Linked DNA regions of Xenopus tropicalis. The protein of the gene in region 1 purifies or fractionates together with the protein of each later gene. This does not show direct contact. Links are inferred from orthologs where the notes say so. Each region holds a gene or a part of one and is shown in the gene's direction. Other genes may lie near its edges.

Evidence for each region. Proteins that work in one complex are often made in the same cells at the same time.
Region 2: the proteins of rab8b (region 1) and gdi2 purify together in Homo sapiens (affinity purification with mass spectrometry; 3 studies listed by BioGRID and IntAct, with this or other methods). This does not show direct contact. The link is inferred for Xenopus tropicalis from reciprocal best matches to the Homo sapiens genes RAB8B and GDI2.
Region 3: the proteins of rab8b (region 1) and gdi1 purify together in Homo sapiens (affinity purification with mass spectrometry; 3 studies listed by BioGRID and IntAct, counting the BioPlex papers as one, with this or other methods). This does not show direct contact. The link is inferred for Xenopus tropicalis from reciprocal best matches to the Homo sapiens genes RAB8B and GDI1.

Annotation. Positions count from the first base shown.
Region 1 is NC_030679.2:91,486,976-91,493,362, reverse strand, and holds part of rab8b (ras-related protein Rab-8B), read left to right. Parts: intron 1-934; coding exon 935-995; intron 996-1,123; coding exon 1,124-1,184; intron 1,185-1,909; coding exon 1,910-1,987; intron 1,988-2,468; coding exon 2,469-2,558; intron 2,559-2,670; coding exon 2,671-2,736; intron 2,737-4,197; coding exon 4,198-4,248; intron 4,249-4,508; coding exon 4,509-4,601; 3' UTR 4,602-6,387. UniProt on the Homo sapiens protein: The small GTPases Rab are key regulators of intracellular membrane trafficking, from the formation of transport vesicles to their fusion with membranes.
Region 2 is NC_030679.2:84,471,165-84,477,551, forward strand, and holds part of gdi2 (rab GDP dissociation inhibitor beta), read left to right. Parts: intron 1-626; coding exon 627-825; intron 826-1,442; coding exon 1,443-1,574; intron 1,575-2,087; coding exon 2,088-2,187; intron 2,188-4,760; coding exon 4,761-4,932; intron 4,933-6,387. UniProt on the Homo sapiens protein: GDP-dissociation inhibitor preventing the GDP to GTP exchange of most Rab proteins. By keeping these small GTPases in their inactive GDP-bound form regulates intracellular membrane trafficking.
Region 3 is NC_030684.2:155,221-161,607, forward strand, and holds the end of gdi1 (rab GDP dissociation inhibitor alpha), read left to right. Parts: intron 1-41; coding exon 42-173; intron 174-1,277; coding exon 1,278-1,377; intron 1,378-2,676; coding exon 2,677-2,848; intron 2,849-3,063; coding exon 3,064-3,208; intron 3,209-3,553; coding exon 3,554-3,608; intron 3,609-3,709; coding exon 3,710-3,862; 3' UTR 3,863-5,383; downstream 5,384-6,387. UniProt on the Homo sapiens protein: Regulates the GDP/GTP exchange reaction of most Rab proteins by inhibiting the dissociation of GDP from them, and the subsequent binding of GTP to them. Promotes the dissociation of GDP-bound Rab proteins from the membrane and inhibits their activation.

The DNA of each region.
Region 1 (6,387 bases):
CTGGTGAGTAGAACATGGTATTCAATCATAAATCCACAATTCTAATGAAGAATTGGCCAAAAAATGGTTCACTCTTCCATTAGAGCTTCTGGATAAATTTTCCCCTTTGCATCGACTTATACTTAGCCGTCAAGGTAAATGAACCCCTCTCCCATATAATAAAATCACAGTAGGAACATAAATATAACAGAGTTCTGGTAATCTCTCCTTTTAATTGAATCACCTTTCAAAATGTGGCATATGGCACCTTCATTTATACAAATAAAAATGATTCAATTACTTTGCACATAGTTTATAAATAACATGTCATTACTTTCTGGGGAAGTTGCATTTATATGAAAGAGGGAGGGGAATTAAATAGAACATGCAATATATTTAAGAATAAATCTACTTCTCCAAAGTGATACATACACAATTATTTCTATGTCATGCCCTGGACTCGATTCTACCCCCCACACACCCATGGGGAGCTACTGGGGGCATCTTTAGAGGCACAGATCTTCCCAGCTAAAGGACATTGGTTGCCTCGGACTGGTAGAGAAGCCCAAAACATAATATGACAACATTTTTACCCCACTGCTTTTTTTTTTCTTTCAAACAACTGACCTATAAATAACTACTAGTTATTAGGCCAAAAGCAAACTTTTGGCTTGTTTGAAATTATTAAATATGCGTACATATTTGCATAATTATAATGGAAGGAGCCATAAAGTATGCCATGGATCTGTGATACAAATTATCCTATTAAATGGGTGTTTTTTTTTTTGTAGAGAAGATTATACTAGCAGGTTAATGTGTTTGGGACTGCAGGAAGTGGTCTCTTGTCTCTTTGCAGGCTGTGACGCACGCAGCCATTTCCTGCCTCAGCAAAAGAATAACGTAGGTCAGTGCACGTACAATTAATGTTTTATTTTATACGTATCTATATTTTTAGGCATTGACTTCAAGATCCGAACTATAGAATTAGATGGCAAGAAGATAAAGCTTCAGATTTGGTATGTTGAATTGTAAGATCAAGGAGTTGATTTAGGTGACATAGTAAAATATTGACATTTACTACACACATTCCTGTTGAGCCTAATCCTCTCAGGCCACTAAACATTATTTTTATGGTTGTTTTCAGGGATACAGCAGGACAGGAAAGATTCCGTACAATCACTACAGCATATTACAGAGGGGCAATGGTAAATATGCAACAGTCTGTTTAGTTAATATTACAATATTAATTTTCAATACCATGAAAAGTATATTTGCCTAGTATGTTCCACAGACCACATATGCCCTCCTCTTTATTCACTCCTAACTTATAATATTAAATATAAACCGGTATAAAAAGTAGTATCTTGCTTACAGTATATACTTATCTTGCAGTTTATTTTATGCTATCAGTTGTCTGAGCCAGCAGATTTATTCAGTGCTGTAACTGATAGAGATAACATACCTCTGCATGTGGCAGTTTCTCTTTCAGTGTTGCATTGTAATGGTGGCCCTGCTTCTGTGAGAAAATGAAATTGCAAAGGCTTTCTCAAGAACTAACCAAACAATGAAACAATTGTAATATTAAGCATGCAGTAATCCTTCGCATTAGCCAATGAAGCTGACCTGTCAAACACACATTCAGTTATTACACCAGAAAAATCATTAGGAACAGGATGGAAAAAAACAGTTGAGCTTGGTTGAAAGCAGTGATCCCCAGTGGCTTGGGGGCAACATGTTGCTCACCAACCCTTTGGATGTTGCTCTCAGTGCCCCAAAACCAGGTAGGTAGTTTTGAATTCCTGACTTGATGGCAAGTTTTGGGTGAATAAACAAGATTTACTACCAAATAAAGGTTCCAGTAAATTTTGCCTTGTTTAGAGCGTAAAATACGAACCATTGATATAAGTAACATTCCTGCTTTCTTCCTCAGGGCATTATGCTGGTTTATGATATCACCAATGAAAAATCATTTGACAACATAAAAAATTGGATAAGAAACATTGAAGAAGTAAGTGTAAGCTGGATAAGTGTGTGTGTGGTTGCAGTCTTTTCCACTTTTGTTTTTATCCTTTGCCTGTATTTTTGGGATCTCAAATGCCTGTAGTATAAATTCTGTTGTAAATCAATGGGGCCACAAATCCTTTCACCATCCAATTTTTACTTAGGGGGTCATTTCCTAAGACACGAACGCTCGAAGCGTTCATTCGCCGAATTTTCCGTGTCTTGCGCAACTTTTTCATACGCTTGCGCAAGAAAATCGGAAAGGTTTTCCCGCTGTTTACAATCGTTTGGTACGAAAATTTTATGACTTTTGGATCGCCAATATGACATTTTCGTGACTAATACGTTTTTGTCGTAAGCATTTTCGTGATATTTGCGATCTTCAGAAATTTTCGTGTCCAATCCGAATTTGTCCCATTCGAACTCGCATTTTCGTGAATGTGCCCCTTAGTGTTAGTTCCTAACATCGTTCTCAACAATCTCCCCAGCACGCCTCCTCTGATGTAGAAAGGATGATTCTGGGAAATAAATGTGACATGAATGACAAGAGACAAGTATCAAGAGAAAAAGGAGAAAAGGTAATTGTAAATGTGTTGTAGAAGCTGCTAACTCAGGGTACAATGCTGCTCTTCTTTGTAAATGGGGTGACCGTCACTTTCAAGTTTTTCATTTTTCTCTCTGTCATTATAGCTTGCTATTGATTATGGGATCAAGTTCCTTGAGACCAGTGCAAAGTCCAGTATCAATGTGGAGGAGGTAGGTAAAGGCAAGATTAATAGTGTATTTTGCACATAGGTGCATATTTACTAAAATGAGAATTTTCTACTCGTCTATCTCGCCAAAGTTTGCATAAATACATCTCTTTTTACAGTGACATTGCATATTTAAATCAAAATTATACCATTGTGAATGTAATGTGCCAATATTTTGCTGGTATACATACTTTTTCCCAAACAGTTGTAAACATGCTCCATTGTGTGAGCCAATATCCTCCATATTTTTGGACCTGATTAAAAAATATAAGAGATAATAAAACAGAGCTAGTTGGTTTTATAATTCTACCATTTTAAAATGAATGTACTCCTCCATGATTTGCATGTGGGTCTTGGCTGTCCAGCAGCATTGTCTTTCCAAAACCACTGTATTGAGCTTTGCGTTAGCCGATGCTCCCTGTTAGTAAATGCTGGAGGTGACTAAAAATGCAGCGTAAATTCCTCCCACATCACATCTAATTATGTTTTTAGTGAATTTGCAGTGTGATAGCTTTGGTCTAAACTTATGCTATCCACAAAATGCAAAGTGATATTTTATCTTAACCCCACCCTTGGACAACTTAAACCACTACAATAAAAGGCTTTTTTTGTGAAAAAGTCACCTAGCACAAACAGTAGTAGCATCTGTATCTATCAATGCACCGTGGAGACAGAACCTCCTTTCTCCCTCTGCTAAAATCACCTGTGCAGTGCTCTGGCAAGGTCCTACCGCCACAGCGAGCCTAACTGAAAACCTTCTGTTGGGCTTGTCCCCATCATACCTTTCTAATTATTGCTTATTAGATAATAAAACATGGAAAATTAATCAAATAAAGTCATAAAATATATATATATATGCAAAAAAAATAAATAGACTCCTTTATTGAAATACATTAGTATTTAAACATAATAAAGCAAGGCAAACTTACCACTAGGTTACCTGTCAAGCCAAACAGTTCATTGCTAGAGAACTGGATGAGTACAGAAAACCAAAGCAAACGGAATATTTCATAAAAACCAAAAGCCAATAATGTAAGCCCTCAGCAACTTGATTACCCACTTAACCCCCAAGGGTATTCATCTCTTACCATCACTTTACAAACCAACAGGAACTTTACTGCCTCACTGGTTACCCTCACCTTTTGTCTCAATCACTCTCCCTCTTAGAATGTAAGCTTTTGTGAGCAGGGTCTTCCCCTATTGTGAAAACATATGTATCACATAATGACCCGAAGGAGCCATGCTAGGCAGGTTCAGACTGCTATGTGATGCCTATGTTCTTTGGGTAGGAAGGTAACTTTAGGTTAACTTTTTGTTACCCATGCAGGTGGGCAACAAAACATCCTGCTTGCCTGGGCCCGAAGAGTTTTATTACAAACACTCACTCATACTCTTGCTGTCCCTTTCTGTTTTTAATGTGTATGTACTGAAACATGCAAACCTAACATAATTTGTTTTTATTCAGGCTTTTTTCACACTGGCAAGAGACATCATGACAAAACTCAACAGAAAAATGGTTTGTATGACATTCGCAAAAGCAGTGTTTGTGTAGCAACCATAGGGAGTTATTTATCTTTTGCAATACACCAGGAAAAACTTTTTTCTTATTATAAGGCTAAGGTTAACTTTGATGTATAGGGTACAACGTATGCTGTACCATGTGGATTTATAGTGTTGAAATCAGAGATAAAAGTGCTTTATGAACTGTGGAAAGCTATGAATAAAAATGCTCCTGTAAGTTATAATCTTCCCACTCTTCTCTTTCTAATGTTCCAGAATGAAAGCATCTCTCCGGGTGGAGGAGGTCCTGTAAAAATAACTGAGAAGTCTTCTAAGAAAAGCAGCTTTTTCCGTTGTGTGTTGCTTTGATGAACTTAAGCACAAGAGAGAGACAGACTGTGGCACACCTGATCTATCGGCTCCATGCTTAGCACAGGTGTTGCAAAGGCCTCTTTGGGGAACTCCTGTTTGCTGGAAGTGCTAAATATGAGAGCGTTGTCCACATTGGTTTCTGGAGTGGAAGTTTATTAGAGAAGGGTGCACTTCATATTCCGTCCATCTGAAACTCAACCAGAAAAAGTGAAAAAATACTTTTTTGTATGTCCTTAAAGGATGTTTCCCTTCAATAACTTTTTTTGCTTTTTTTTTTTTTGTTTACACTATACCTCGTTACAGACTAAGCATTGTTAGTGCAAATAAGTATTATGCCTATAAGTTGAGTCATAAGCCATGGGTGTCACTTTTGGGGGTAAACCTTTGGATTATTTTAATTTGGTGACCAGCAGAGGATGTATTTCAATTTGAGAGTATCTGTAAATTTAATGTGATAATCTGCTGAAAGTTAGACAGTGCATAACAGACATTGGTATTAACTTATTGTTGAAAATATGGAGAAAGTAAAATCAGGGTCCACTTAGTAGGGAGTGTAGCTTGTAACAGGTTTTTTATTCTTCTGCACAATAATGTATCAGGAAGATGCATTTTATTAGGTAATATCAGTCTTTTCTTGGAGAAGTACCATATTATAAATTGAGTTACACTGGTATGCGAAACTCTGAACTGGATCCATCTCTATGCTTGGCTTAATATGATACAAGAACAATCTGATTTATAAATATAGCTGCAGTGCAATTCACCCAAAAACTAGAATGAGCAGTTCAATTTATATTGTGTTTACATACTAAGTATTTTGCAGTGTTGTTGAACTGTGCATTTGCTAGGGAAATCTTGCTTTAACACATAGCTTTGTTTTTTTCTGAACTAATGTTAGGAAATTGTGTTTCTCTGCTTTTGTAAGTTGACCTGATGGCCTCATGCCATACATTTGCACCACTGCTGACTAAATCTTCCATTGCCTGTACAATATATTACCCATACCAGGCGGCTACCCTGTTGCTCTCTCTTCAACTCTAGCATATACATATTTTAGGAAATATAGAAAGAAAGGGTTATCATAAAACATGTTGGACTTTAATCCCTTGGTTTTATATTTATATTTTTTAGTGAATTTTATGTAGTAATGAGGCAGTTGTATGGATGTAGCCCTTTAAAGCTGTGAAAATAGTGCTTCTTTTTTAGTTTGCCACTTAACTTCATGTAGAGAAGTTATTCACTACCACCCACAGAGAAGTACATTAAAGTATATTCATTAATTGGAAAGTATAGGGAAGTAATTTACTCAGTTGCTTGAACTACACTTTTCTAATGTTCAGAATTCACCTGCAGATGGTTATAGGGTTAAGTGAACAGTTTGTTACCATTTGGCTCTGAAGGTTTTCCCTTTAAACATATGGTTTAGGTGTTTTCTATATTTGTTTTAATGTATTTTTTATGTTATGTTCTACCACTTGTAGTTGTCTTCAGGGCCAGTCAGCTTTTATTATTTCCACTATAAGCCCAAGACACCTATTAGATATAATACTGTATGGATCTAATTTCTGTGAGAGTGAGCTTTTAATGTCAGTTTCTCTGGTGGGCCATAGGAGGATCAGTCCAACACTGGTTGTCATGAAATGTGAATGTCCTAATGTAGGAGCTCTCCCCTCTGCCCTGCGTTAGACATTACATTACCTGCAGCATACATATTTGCTCTTGAACATTGTATTTGGAAATTGTCTATGTCCTTAGTGTATCAGAATTGCACATTATATAAAGC
Region 2 (6,387 bases), about 7.0 Mb from region 1:
TGACTGTGCACAACTGGAAGCAGAGTTGTATAATGGTACTTTTAATAAAGCATTGAATACAATAAATTTTCTTCATGATAGACCTGTTTTTGGAGCAGAGTAGAGTGGATTTATTACATGGATCTTTTGAGGTTAAAGAAACTGAACATTTATTTTTTTTAGTTAAAATTTAATTGAGTAATCTAATCAAGCTCACTTTTCAGTTCACTGGACTTCATAAGGTCTCAGATAAGAAAATGCAAGCAAGAGTGACATCACTCTCTCTAGAGTGACATCACTTCCAGCCAACAGTGAATTCTTGTTTCGTGGGTCCCTGGTCAGGTTAGAAACAAACAACTTGCAGGCAGGGACAGGCAGCCAGGGTGGCTGAAGGAGCCTAATAAGTAAGTAAGTACATCCAGATCAGGTTGTAGGTTCAGTTCAGGTAAGGGTCTACCCAGCTGGAGCGTACAGGTAGACTGTCAGGCTGAGCATAATCGCAGGCTGAAAGTTTGCCGTATGGGGCTTTACCCTTCGCTTGCTAGGGTTTGCCATGTCTGAGTATCTGCCCATAGAAGGTTGAAGGTTATCAGGGCTTCAGCTGCTTTTGTAAATTGCCTGTGTCTGATTGTCATTTTTGTTTTAAGGTCTAATGGGCATGTTTGAAAAGCGGCGGTTTAAGAAATTTCTAAGTTATGTTGCCAACTTTGATGAGAATGATTCCAAGACACTAGAATGTGTTGACCCAAAGAAAACAACAATGCGAGATGTCTACAAGAAGTTTGATTTGGGCCAGGATGTAATTGACTTTACAGGTCACGCTCTAGCACTCTATAGGACTGATGAGTAAGTTAGTTTTATTCATTTTATTTAATACAATATAATCTGTCTGCATTTCCTATGTACATTTTGAACTTTATATAAAAACTCAGCCAACAATTTGCAGCACATAGAGTACAAATTTCTATATATTTCTATAGTAGTAATTTCCATACTTTGGGTCTGCCTCACACTCTTACTTTAGGTGATTAAAATGTGGGGGTGTGGGGAGGCTAGCATATATAGGCTTGTTAGGGGTAAATATAGTGGATATCTCTGGCACTTTAACAATGTGCCTTGTTACAAACATATTTTTACATCATCTGTAACCTCACTAAATGAATGGGGGCCAAATCACTACTGCTTAACAGAGGTCTTGATCCTAAAATGTTTTAAAACCTCTGCTTTAGAGGATCTGATCCTCAGAGAAAAAAGTGGACATTCAAGGCCTGAGCACCTGTTTAATCTCTTGACAAAATGTGATTCCTTGTTATTTATTTTCAAAATTCTTGGTCAGGCTGTTTGTCAGGCAGGGTTTTTTTTTTTAATATGAGGACATGTCTTGTGCAAAATTCTGACAATTCTTCCTAGACAACAAATCTTTTGTCCTCTTGAGTAATACCACAATTCCTGTTTTTCTCTAGATATCTGGACCAGCCCTGTCTTGAGACAATAAACCGGATTAAATTGTATAGTGAATCTCTTGCTCGATATGGCAAAAGCCCTTACCTTTATCCACTTTATGGCCTTGGAGAGCTGCCACAAGGTTTTGCAAGGTAAGACATTGAGACCCATTATCTTATCAATCTCGAGATTCATCTTAAAATAGATAAAAATTTGTTTTCAGTTACAGACTGTAAAAACAGAATATTTACTGATGTTTTACCTGCTAATAATACTTGAATTTTCCAATTTTTTTCCCCCTTACATGGAGCGGATTGTGCCTGTAAGCAGCTTTTGTTAATAGACTGTATAAATATTACCCTTTGCATTTTAGATTCAGCACACATCCTGTGTTTTACACTGCTATACCCTATGGCCTAACATTTCCTTTGTTCATATCCATTATATTATGCTATCATTTTTGTTCCAAAGTTCACATTATTTTTCTACCTGACATTCTGTAGACTGTAAACCTTTATGAAGAGACCCTAACCATCTTTGACTGTCAATCTTGTCCTGTATGGTTTTCCTTTAAAAAATAAAAAGCTGGTAATGGGCTGGAAAATTAGATTGTAGTTTGCCTACCTGTTATTGCCCTTCATTAAGTCCCTCATTCTGTTTTCCAGACTGAGTGCCATTTATGGTGGGACATATATGTTGAACAAACCAATAGAAGAGCTGGTGATGGAGAATGGCAAAATTGTTGGTGTGAAATCAGAAGGGGAGGTACGTTGTTATGCATTTATGTTATTACTTTTGCCATGTTTCTGTGCAGGTGTTAGCAATTCTCTGGTAACCGTAATAATGGGAGTACATTATTTTATCCTATATTGATGAAAACAAAGGGATTGTAGAAGATTACCTAAAATGTTCTGTTAAGTATATGAAGCCTTTATTGTTTATTGACCTTAGGTATTGGTCAGCTTGTTTAAATTCTGGACCCTGAAACTGCACAGGTTACTTACTGTGCTCCAACACAGTAAGGGGCAGCTTTATTAAAATGTGAGTTTACATAAAAACTCACCCACGTTCTATTTTTTTTTTCCTTTTGGGATTTTCTAAATTTCAGTTCAACTCTAACTTTCAATTATTGATAAATATGCTTTTAAAAAATCCCATAGGTGTGATGTATTGAGCTCTATTGATTGATGAATCTGCCCCTAAGCATTGTGCTGAACGAAAGTGACCTAATGCAGGACTCTACTCTGTAGAATACAATGGGAAACTATGCAGCTTATCTGTTAGATCTGGCATCTAACGGACATGTGAGAGTCATGAAGTCATAAGGTTATGCATTTAGCTTTAAATAGTGCTTTCTGCCCTATTTTGCAATTTTTTTGCATGGATTGGTTATGATAACGGCAAGCACTGTAAAGTTGTATCTAGCTATTTGTATTTGCTGTAGCAAATAAACTGCATACACTGTTTTTGCCTTATAATTTACTTTAAACTAAACCAAGGACTGTGAATGTTTTAAATATGTAAAGGGCTTCCCCTCTCAATATGCAATTCTCTCCTCCTCTGCTGTGGGTGCTGCATTGGATTTCTTGGCATATGTGGGCTGTAGTAACGCTTGCAGACAAACGCCCTGCTTGTTGCACAAATATGGGCAAGATCTGACATCAGCTCGGGTCAGAACGCTACTGTTAGCTTTCCGAATGCTTCTGCCATATCTTTCTACAGAAGAAAGAAAACAGTGTTTCAATTGCCAAGTAGAGAGTTCACATCTGGGGAAAAATGTGCATTTTTTTCTAAAATTACAAATAATACCATTGTAGCTCTACCTTAAATATGTGAGATATACACAGCCTAATTTGAACCGTTGTATTATGACTTTGGTCTGGCTTCCTACAGTTTTGTATGTTTTTTAAGGATTCACATCTGTACTCTTCATTGAGAGTTAAAGGCATTTCATGGAGATGTGTAAAAAGTAAGCTTGACATTGGTTTCACAAGACTCAGAATTAAAGAAACACAAAATATTTGCACAAAATTAAATTAGATATAAATCAGTAAACGAGTCTGCTAATGCCAAAAGCGAAACATCGTACCAAATGTATAGTGGAGACCCGGCCGTCAATACCCCGGGTCTGTCTCCTAAATGAATGGCAAGCAGAAGAGTCACCAACAAGCAAATCAGTTCAGCATTTATAAAGAGCTCACCGTTGTCTAAAGGTACATTGACCTCACAACATTGTATAAAGTGTCAAGATATAGGACTGTTACTATGTGTCTAACGTGTTCACACATCCTGCTTTTTAAAGTCCGGATCATGCAGCCAACGTATTGGATATTACAATGCGAGCAGGTCAAAAGATACACAAAATACTGTGTGTTGCAATTTGCATACATACGCATGTTAAAATATCTGCCTGTCACTGAACTCTGGAAAGAAGTAGACTGTTTTATATAGGCACAAGTGAAATGTATACGTGCGCCCCAGGGATACGCCCTGTAGTCGCTAACCACGTAGTTCTAGTTGGGTGTGACTTCCATAGTGTGCCAGAGAGAACATTACCCAAAGTTAGAGCTTTACGTGCTACAAACTTATATCCCCCTTGCAAAATTGTCGCTATAAGGGGATCATTGTAAAGAACAGGTATAAGGCTATTGAAGATCCTCCTAATCCTATAAAACTGATTGCTATATGTAGTAACAAAAATCGGTGTTTCTACAAATCTTATTATTATTTATATTTTGATTATTACTTTTATCTATGTTTTTAAGCAATTCCATTCTATCAGTTTGTTATGCCTTAGTAAAGGCTGCTGAAAGAGACCTCATTTTGTAGCCACGATCCATAAACCTATCTCGCAAGAGACAGGCCTGTTCAATGTAGGCCTCCATGGTACTACAATTTCTCCGTATCCTGTAGAATTGTCCTAAAGGGATCCCTCTAAACAAAAGGCTGGGATGACAGAATCAGCCCTTACGAGTAAATTACCAGCACAGGCCTTCCTAAATATAGTTTCAACCCTAAAATCAGAGACAACTTTAAATCCAAAAAGAAAATGTAAGTTCTATTAAACTTGCTGGTGAAGCTCAAATTCAAAGTGTTATTATTCAGAGAATTTACAAAATCCCAAAAATCAATCTCAGATCCCTGCCATGCAAGCAAAAGATCATCCACATAATGTTTATAAAAAATATTGCATATAGAATCCATGGTACCCCAATAAATGTCTCCTCCCTCCAACCCATATATAGGTTTTGCACCCATGGGTGTCCTACACTGGAGGTAAAAAAAAACACCATCAAATTTGAAAAAATTGTTTCACAAGGGCTTTTTTGATTTTGCAGGTGGCACGATGCAAGCAGCTGATATGTGATCCAAGTTACGTTTCAGATCGGGTCACTAAAGTAGGACAGGTCATCCGTGTAATTTGTATTCTGAGCCATCCAATAAAGAACACGAACGATGCCAATTCTTGTCAGATTATCATTCCACAGAATCAAGTCAACAGAAAATCTGGTGAGTTTCACAAGAAGTAGGTAAATTTTGAAATATGTTGCACCAGAGAGAAGCAGGCAGGGGGAAATGAGGACAGAGAGAAGAATTACAGGCCAGGGAAGGACAGAGGCACTAAGGGGCTTATAATATGTGTATGGGGGGCGAAGTGTGTTGCACTGATTTATAATGTAATCACATCAGAAGACTGTAAGAACAAAAACATGTGAGTTTCACAAAATGATTAAAATGAGCTATAGAACTAACACCGGAGTTAAGCAGGCAGAGAAGGAAGAGGAAGCAGCAGAGACACTACAGGGCCTACTAAAAATTTTTTTTTTTTACAATGCCAGTATATATTATGCCTCATTTCTTTTATAACTCCATGTTAATATTTACATTGTGTAGATTTGTTGCAAAGTTGATAGAGGAAAAATGAGCGATTTCTTAGGCTAAACTATGATGGATTAACATTTCCCAGGGAAAGGTCCCCAATTTAGAAAGTTTAGATACTGATGGTTTCATGCCCAAAATAGATGTTTCTTCTTTGGCAGTAGTCTGTGTGTATACAACTTTGGTTTGGGAAAAGTCATCATCTTTTTAAGATATCTTATCAGATATACCTTGTCAGAGGTATCAACCAGGTAGGCCTTCTCTGCCACTGGTTATAGATAAAGGTGTAATGTAGGAGACTGAAGTACAAATGCCTTGCATTGAAGCAAGTTGATAAGTTAATAGATTTTACTGTTTGACAAAATTGAAAGCAGAATACAGAGAGAAACAGAGAGAGCAGGGCACAACAGGAAGTGAATTGAGCACAGTACTTAGCAGAGAGTACACTCTATTAGTGTTACATTCCTTGCATGAAATTTGGCAGATGTATTGTTACCTTTTATTTTTTATGGCATGGATTTTGGTTTAGTGGGAAGTATATTTAGGCAACAAATTCACCCCCCAAAGCACATCCAGGCAAAATCATTGAGATGCTAATCAGTGTTGCACTTGTTTGTGTGCTCTCTGCATGTGACTATAGTTGGACAGATAAGTACAGGTACCAGTAGCCCAGCTTTCTAAAGCTGAGGGCACACCGAGCATTTGCTCCGCTGCTTTCAGCCTGTGTTCACTTCCTTAAAGGAACAGTAACACCAAAAAGTGAAAGTGTATAAAAGTAATTACAATATAATGTACTGTTGCCCTGCATTGCTACAACTGGTGTGTTTGCCTCAGAAAGACTACTATAGTTTATATAAGTTAGCTGCTGTGTAGCCATGGGGGCAGCCATTCAAAGGAGAAAAGGCACAGGTTACTAAGCAGATAACTAGTAGATAAGCCCCATATAATGAGGGTTTATCTGTTATCTGCTATGTAACCTGTGCCTTTTCTCCAGCTTCAATGGCTACACAGCAGCTTATTTATATAGTAGCTTTTCTGAAGCAAAACACCAGATTTTTGCAGAGCAACAGCACATTATATTTTAAT
Region 3 (6,387 bases), on another chromosome or scaffold:
TAGATACAAACTGATAGAGGCTCTTTTCTTCCCATTTTCAGCTATTTGGACCAACCCTGCCTAGAAACTATCAATCGCATTAAGCTTTACAGCGAGTCTTTGGCAAGATATGGCAAGAGTCCCTACTTGTACCCTTTGTATGGGCTGGGGGAGCTGCCACAGGGCTTTGCCAGGTATGTATATATTTATTCTCCTAGTGTCATTAGTGTCTCCTAGTGCTCATATCCACCCCTCGGCCCCTCACTCCATCTCTTGTGCCTCCATAGAGAGAACTTGCCGCCCTAGGCCTCGGCCTTTATGGCCTCTCCACAAATCCAGGCCTGCTCATATCCATCCCTCTGCCCCTCACTCCATCTCTTGTGTCTCCATAGAGAGAACTTGCCGCCCTAGTCCTCGGCCTTTATGGCCTCTCCACAAATCCAGGCCTGCTCATATCCACCCCTCTGCCCCTCACTCCATCTCTTGTGTCTCCATAGAGAGAACTTGCCACCCTAGTCCTCGGCCTTTATGGCCTCTCCACAAATCCAGGCCTGCTCATATCCACCCCTCTGCCCCTCACTCCATCTCTTGTGTCTCCATAGAGAGAACTTGCCGCCCTAGTCCTCGGCCTTTATGGCCTCTCCACAAATCCAGGCCTGCTCATATCCATCCCTCTGCCCCTCACTCCATCTCTTGTGTCTCCATACACTCCTCCCCCTCTCATCCAAGAGCGTACAGGCCCCTCCCCTTATCATGGCTTCCCATAACCTTCCCCCCCACTCCTCTGCCCCTCACCCCATCTCTTGTGTCTCTATACGTTCCTGGCCGATTCCTTCGCTCCTCTCAGAGCAGCTGCTTGGTTGTAACCCCATTACTACTGCCATTTTAACGCTTTGTGCCTTGCTACCCCTTACATTGGGAATGGCACCCTGAATTCTCCCGGTGAGAATCCCCCCTCAGAACGAAACTCACAGACCCCCTCTTGGGGCACTTGCACAGCCCCTAATCTGGGAACTGGAACTTATATAGCTGTTTACCCACCGTAACCTGCAGCAGTTCACTTAGATCGTTAGCTCTATGGGGTAGGGATCTCCATCTTCTTGTCTCTTTGATCTCTAATGTAACTGCATTTGTTTTTATTTGTATTTATTATTGTTCATTACTGTACATCTAAGGAAACATGTATCTAAGGAAACATGTTAGGGTTACACACATACATGTGACCAATACGGGTAAGTAGTACATTACAGAGAGTACACTCTAACCCTAATACCCCGGCTGATGTGTTTCTGCCGTAGGCTAAGTGCAATATATGGAGGAACCTACATGCTGAACAAATCCGTGGATGAGATTGTAATGGAGAAAGGCCGAGTGGTTGGCGTTAAATCAGAGGGAGAGGTAAGGTTTTAGGGGCATTTTCAGTAAGTCAGAATTTCAGTGGGGTTGTTAGAAGGGTTGCAGTCAAGGCTGTTAGTGGGTTCAGGTCCCCATGGCTTCTCACTGTCACATCTAGCTCTACTGCCATTGTCTTGCCCTGCTGCATTGCTTTTGCCTCAAAGTATCTGTCTTGCCCTTGTTGCCATCTTGCAGTGCCGTCACCACCTTCCTCTAATGTCTGCATCCTGTTTCCATCTTGTCCTGCTATCTGTGTCATCTGTGTCTGTGCCATATTGGCTCACTTGTCTACATCTTCTCTCCATCTTGCCCAGCTGTCTCCATCTTGTACTGTTGTGTTCCATCTTGCCATACTGTCTCCATCTTGTCCTACTGTCTTTATTTTGCATCTGTCTCCATCTTGCCCTACTGTCCCCATCTTGCCCTACTGTCCCCATCTTGCCCTACTGTCCCCATCTTGCCCTGCTCTCTCAATCTTGCCTTACTCTCTCCATTTTGCCCTGCTCTCTCAATCTTGCCTTACTCTCTCCATCTTGCCCTACTGTCTCCATCTTGCCCTGCTGTCTCCATCTTGCCTTACTCTCTCCATCTTGCCCTACTGTCTCCATCTTGCCCTACTGTCTCCATCTTGCCCTGCTGTCTCCATCTTGCTCTACTGTCCCCATCTTGTCCTACTGTCCCCATCTTGTCCTACTGTCCCCATCTTGTCCTACTGTACCCATCTTGCCCTACTGTCTCCATCTTGCCCTACTGTCCCCATCTTGCCCTACTGTCCCCATCTTGTCCTTCTGTCCCCATCTTGTCCTTCTGTCCCCATCTTGTCCTACTGTCCCCATCTTGTCCTACAGTCCCCATCTTGTCCTACTGTCCCCATCTTGTCCTACTGTCCCCATCTTGCCCTACTGTCTCCATCTTGCCCTACTGTCCCCATCTTGCCCTACTGTCTCCATCTTGCCCTACTGTCTCCATCTTGCCTTACTGTCTCCATCTTGCCTTACTGTCCCCATCTTGCCCTACTGTCTCCATCTTGCCTTACTGTCTCCATCTTGCCCTACTGTCCCCATCTTGCCCTACTGTCCCCATCTTGCCCTACTGTCCCCATCTTGCCCTACTGTCCCCATCTTGCCCTACTGTCTCCATCTTGCCCTACTGTCCCCATCTTGCCCTACTGTCTCCATCTTGCCCTACTGTCTCCATCAGTCCCCGTCTTGCCCTACATTACCCATGCCATACTGTCTGTTCCCAGCACAGCTAAGCCTGACAATTGGAGGAAGCCATCTTTATGAGTTGTTGTGCCTGTAGGTGGCGCGGTGCAAGCAGCTGATCTGTGACCCCAGTTACGTTGCTGATCGGGTGCGCAAGGCGGGACAGGTTATCCGCGTCATCTGCGTCTTGAACCATCCCATTAAGAATACGAATGATGCTAATTCCTGCCAAATTATCATCCCCCAGAACCAGGTCAACAGAAAATCAGGTGAGACAAAGGGTTAAGGAGTAATATGGAGTCACATGACTGGGGGAGACTGGCAAATCAGAATGAAGCTGTCCTGGAGCGCTGGGTCTGGGTGCCAAGGTGCCTGTGGGGAAGGGATGAGAGGGGGAGTTGGGTTGGCACACTGTGGGCTTCCGAGCATGGGGGGCATGGGAAGAGTGAGGGGCTCAGGTGAATGTTTAACCCTCGCCTTGCAGATATTTACGTGTGCATGATCTCCTACGCACACAACGTGGCGGCTCAGGGCAAGTACATTGCAATTGTCAGCACCACGGTGGAGACGGCGGAGCCGGAGAAAGAGATTGAACCGGCGCTGGAACTCTTGGAGCCCATCGATCAGAAGTGAGTGCTTAACCCCTTGTGTGTCCATATAGCCATACGCACACACAGCGGGACAGTTGGCAAGTAGGAAGCATAGAATAACGTGAATAGCGGGGTACACCTTTGTGTTTAATAGACACACCTTTGGGGGTACCATGTGGGGTGTGGGATCTCAGTGCGCGGATTGGTCACATGAAATGGACATTAGAGAGCTTCGGGCAATACACTGATTAACCTGTTCAGGGTCTCGGGGTGGGACTTTAGCTGCTATTGGTGCTGTGCCCAGGGTGAATGAATGGATCGCGCTAACAGAACTGGCCTCTGGGCCTCAGATCCGGAGATTTCATGCAATGTTTCCTATTACAGGTTTGTGGCTATTAGTGATCTGTTTGAATCCATTGAGGATGGGACAGAAAGCCAAGTAAGTGTTTGGGATCTGGGATTGGGCTCAGCTCTTTGTACTGACAGAGCAGGTCCAGTTACTATGCAGAAGGAACGTTAACTATTTCCTCTCCCTCGTAGGTTTTCTGCTCCCGCTCCTATGATGCCACCACACACTTTGAGACCACGTGCAATGACATCAAGGACATCTACAAGAGGATGACGGGCACAGACTTTGACTTTGAGAACATGAAACGCAAACAGAATGATGTTTTTGGGGAGGATGAGCAGTGAGGAGATGAAGGGGGGTCAATCAGTTGGGGGGACGAGACAGACGGGGGTACAGTACAGGGGATTGTTTGGGGGGGTTTGGTACAAGAGAACTCTGCTAGTAGGAGAAATGGGGTGAATGGCAGAAGGCATGTACTTTGGGCTGGGGGGGCGCTGGAAAGGAAGAATTCATTTTTGGGGGGCAGAGGATAAAGAAAACACCAGCTGGTAGGAGTGGGCAAGGGCAATTATAAGGGAAAGAGAAAGCTTCCATATTGTTTTTGTCATCATAACCCCCAGTTTAACTTCTTAAGCCTCTTGCTCCTTGCTATGAGCCCTGATGTTGGCACAACCCTAATGCTGGCACTCTGTAGCACTGGCATCGCAAAAAGATGTGTCTGAGAAATGAAGCTGCTTACTCTCACCCATGCCTGTGCCCCGAGCCCATTCCTCAGCATCTTCTTTGCCCTGTGCCCACAGACTGGCAGAGAAAGCTATATATAATAATGAGTCAGGTAGGCCCCTCATTCCCATATGCCAGCTGTTTGTCCCATGCCCACAGACTGGCAGAGAACACTATATAATAATGAGTCAGGTAGGCCCCTCATTCCTGTATGCCAGCTGTTTGTCCCATGCCCACAGACTGGCAGAGAACACTATATAATAATGAGTCAGGTAGGCCCCTCATTCCTGTATGCCAGCTGTTTGTCCCATGCCCACAGACTGGCAGAGAACACTATATAATAATGAGTCAGGTAGGCCCCTCATTCCTGTATGCCAGCTGTTTGTCCCATGCCCACAGACTGGCAGAGAACACTATATAATAATGAGTCAGGTAGGCCCCTCATTCCTGTATGCCAGCTGTTTGTCCCATGCCCACAGACTGGCAGAGAACACTATATAATAATGAGTCAGGTAGGCCCCTCATTCCTGTATGCCAGCTGTTTGTCCCATGCCCACAGACTGGCAGAGAACACTATATAATAATGAGTCAGGTAGGCCCCTCATTCCTGTATGCCAGCTGTTTGTCCCATTCCCACAGACTGGCAGAGAACACTATATAATAATGAGTCAGGTAGGCCCCTCATTCCTGTATGCCAGCTGTTTGTCCCATGCCCACAGACTGGCAGAGAACACTATATAATAATGAGTCAGGTAGGCCCCTGATTCCTGTATGCCAGCTCTGTGCCCAATGCCCACAGACTGGCAGAGAACACTATCTCATATTAACCCTTTTTGTTGTTAATCGTGACTTAAAAAGTTAAACTGAGATCCCTTTTCCCTGTTAGTAATTTATTAAGTTAATTTATTAGAGAGATAGAAATGGTGAAATGGGAAAGCCGGTTACATGGAACCCAGGAATGGAGGAACAGAGTATCAGACATTGTAGCCCAGTTTGCATTCTCTAGAACTTTCTGTGTTCTGGTTCTTTCCTCTCTGATAATATTCCGCTCTCTGCATTGTCCCCCCCCCCGAGGGTCTCACAGTTTCACCTTCATTCCTGTATTTGGCTGAATCACAACATATTACAAAATGGAAACTCTGTGTCATGTCATTCTCTGTACATCTGTCCCATAACGTGTGAGAGTCCGTGGTACCGGTCCTGATATGTGGCAGAATGAGTGGGTCTGTCCTTTGTATGAACAGCCGCTGCTCAGACAGTGGGGAGGTGTAGGTGTGAGTCCGTGGTACCGGTCCTGTTCAGGGGCAGAATGAGTGGGTCTGTCCTTTGTATGAACAGCCGCTGCTCAGACAGTGGGGAGGTGTAGGTGTGAGTCCGTGGTACCGGTGCTGTTCAGGGGCAGAATGAGTGGGTCTGTCCTTTGTATGAACAGCCGCTGCTCAGACAGTGGGGAGGTGTAGGTGTGAGTCCGTGGTACCGGTGCTGTTCAGGGGCAGAATGAGTGGGTCTGTCCTTTGTATGAACAGCCGCTGCTCAGACAGTGGGGAGGTGTAGGTGTGAGTCCGTGGTACCGGTCCTGTTCAGGGGCAGAATGAGTGGGTCTGTCCTTTGTATGAACAGCCGCTGCTCAGACAGTGGGGAGGTGTAGGTGTGAGTCCGTGGTACCGGTGCTGTTCAGGGGCAGAATGAGTGGGTCTGTCCTTTGTATGAACAGCCGCTGCTCAGACAGTGGGGAGGTGTGGGTGTGAGTCCGTGGTACCGGTGCTGTTCAGGGGCAGAATGAGTGGGTCTGTCCTTTGTATGAACAGCCGCTGCTCAGACAGTGGGGAGGTGTAGGTGTGAGTCCGTGGTACCGGTCCTGTTCAGGGGCAGAATGAGTGGGACTGTCCTTTGTATGAACAGCCGCTGCTCAGACAGTGGGGAGGTGTAGGTGTGAGTCCGTGGTACCGGTCCTGTTCAGGGGCAGAATGAGTGGGTCTGTCCTTTGTATGAACAGCCGCTGCTCAGACAGTGGGGAGGTGTAGGTGTGAGTCCGTGGTACCGGTGCTGTTCAGGGGCAGAATGAGTGGGTCTGTCCTTTGTATGAACAGCCGCTGCTCAGACAGTGGGGAGGTGTAGGTGTGAGTCTGTGGTACCGGTGCTGTTC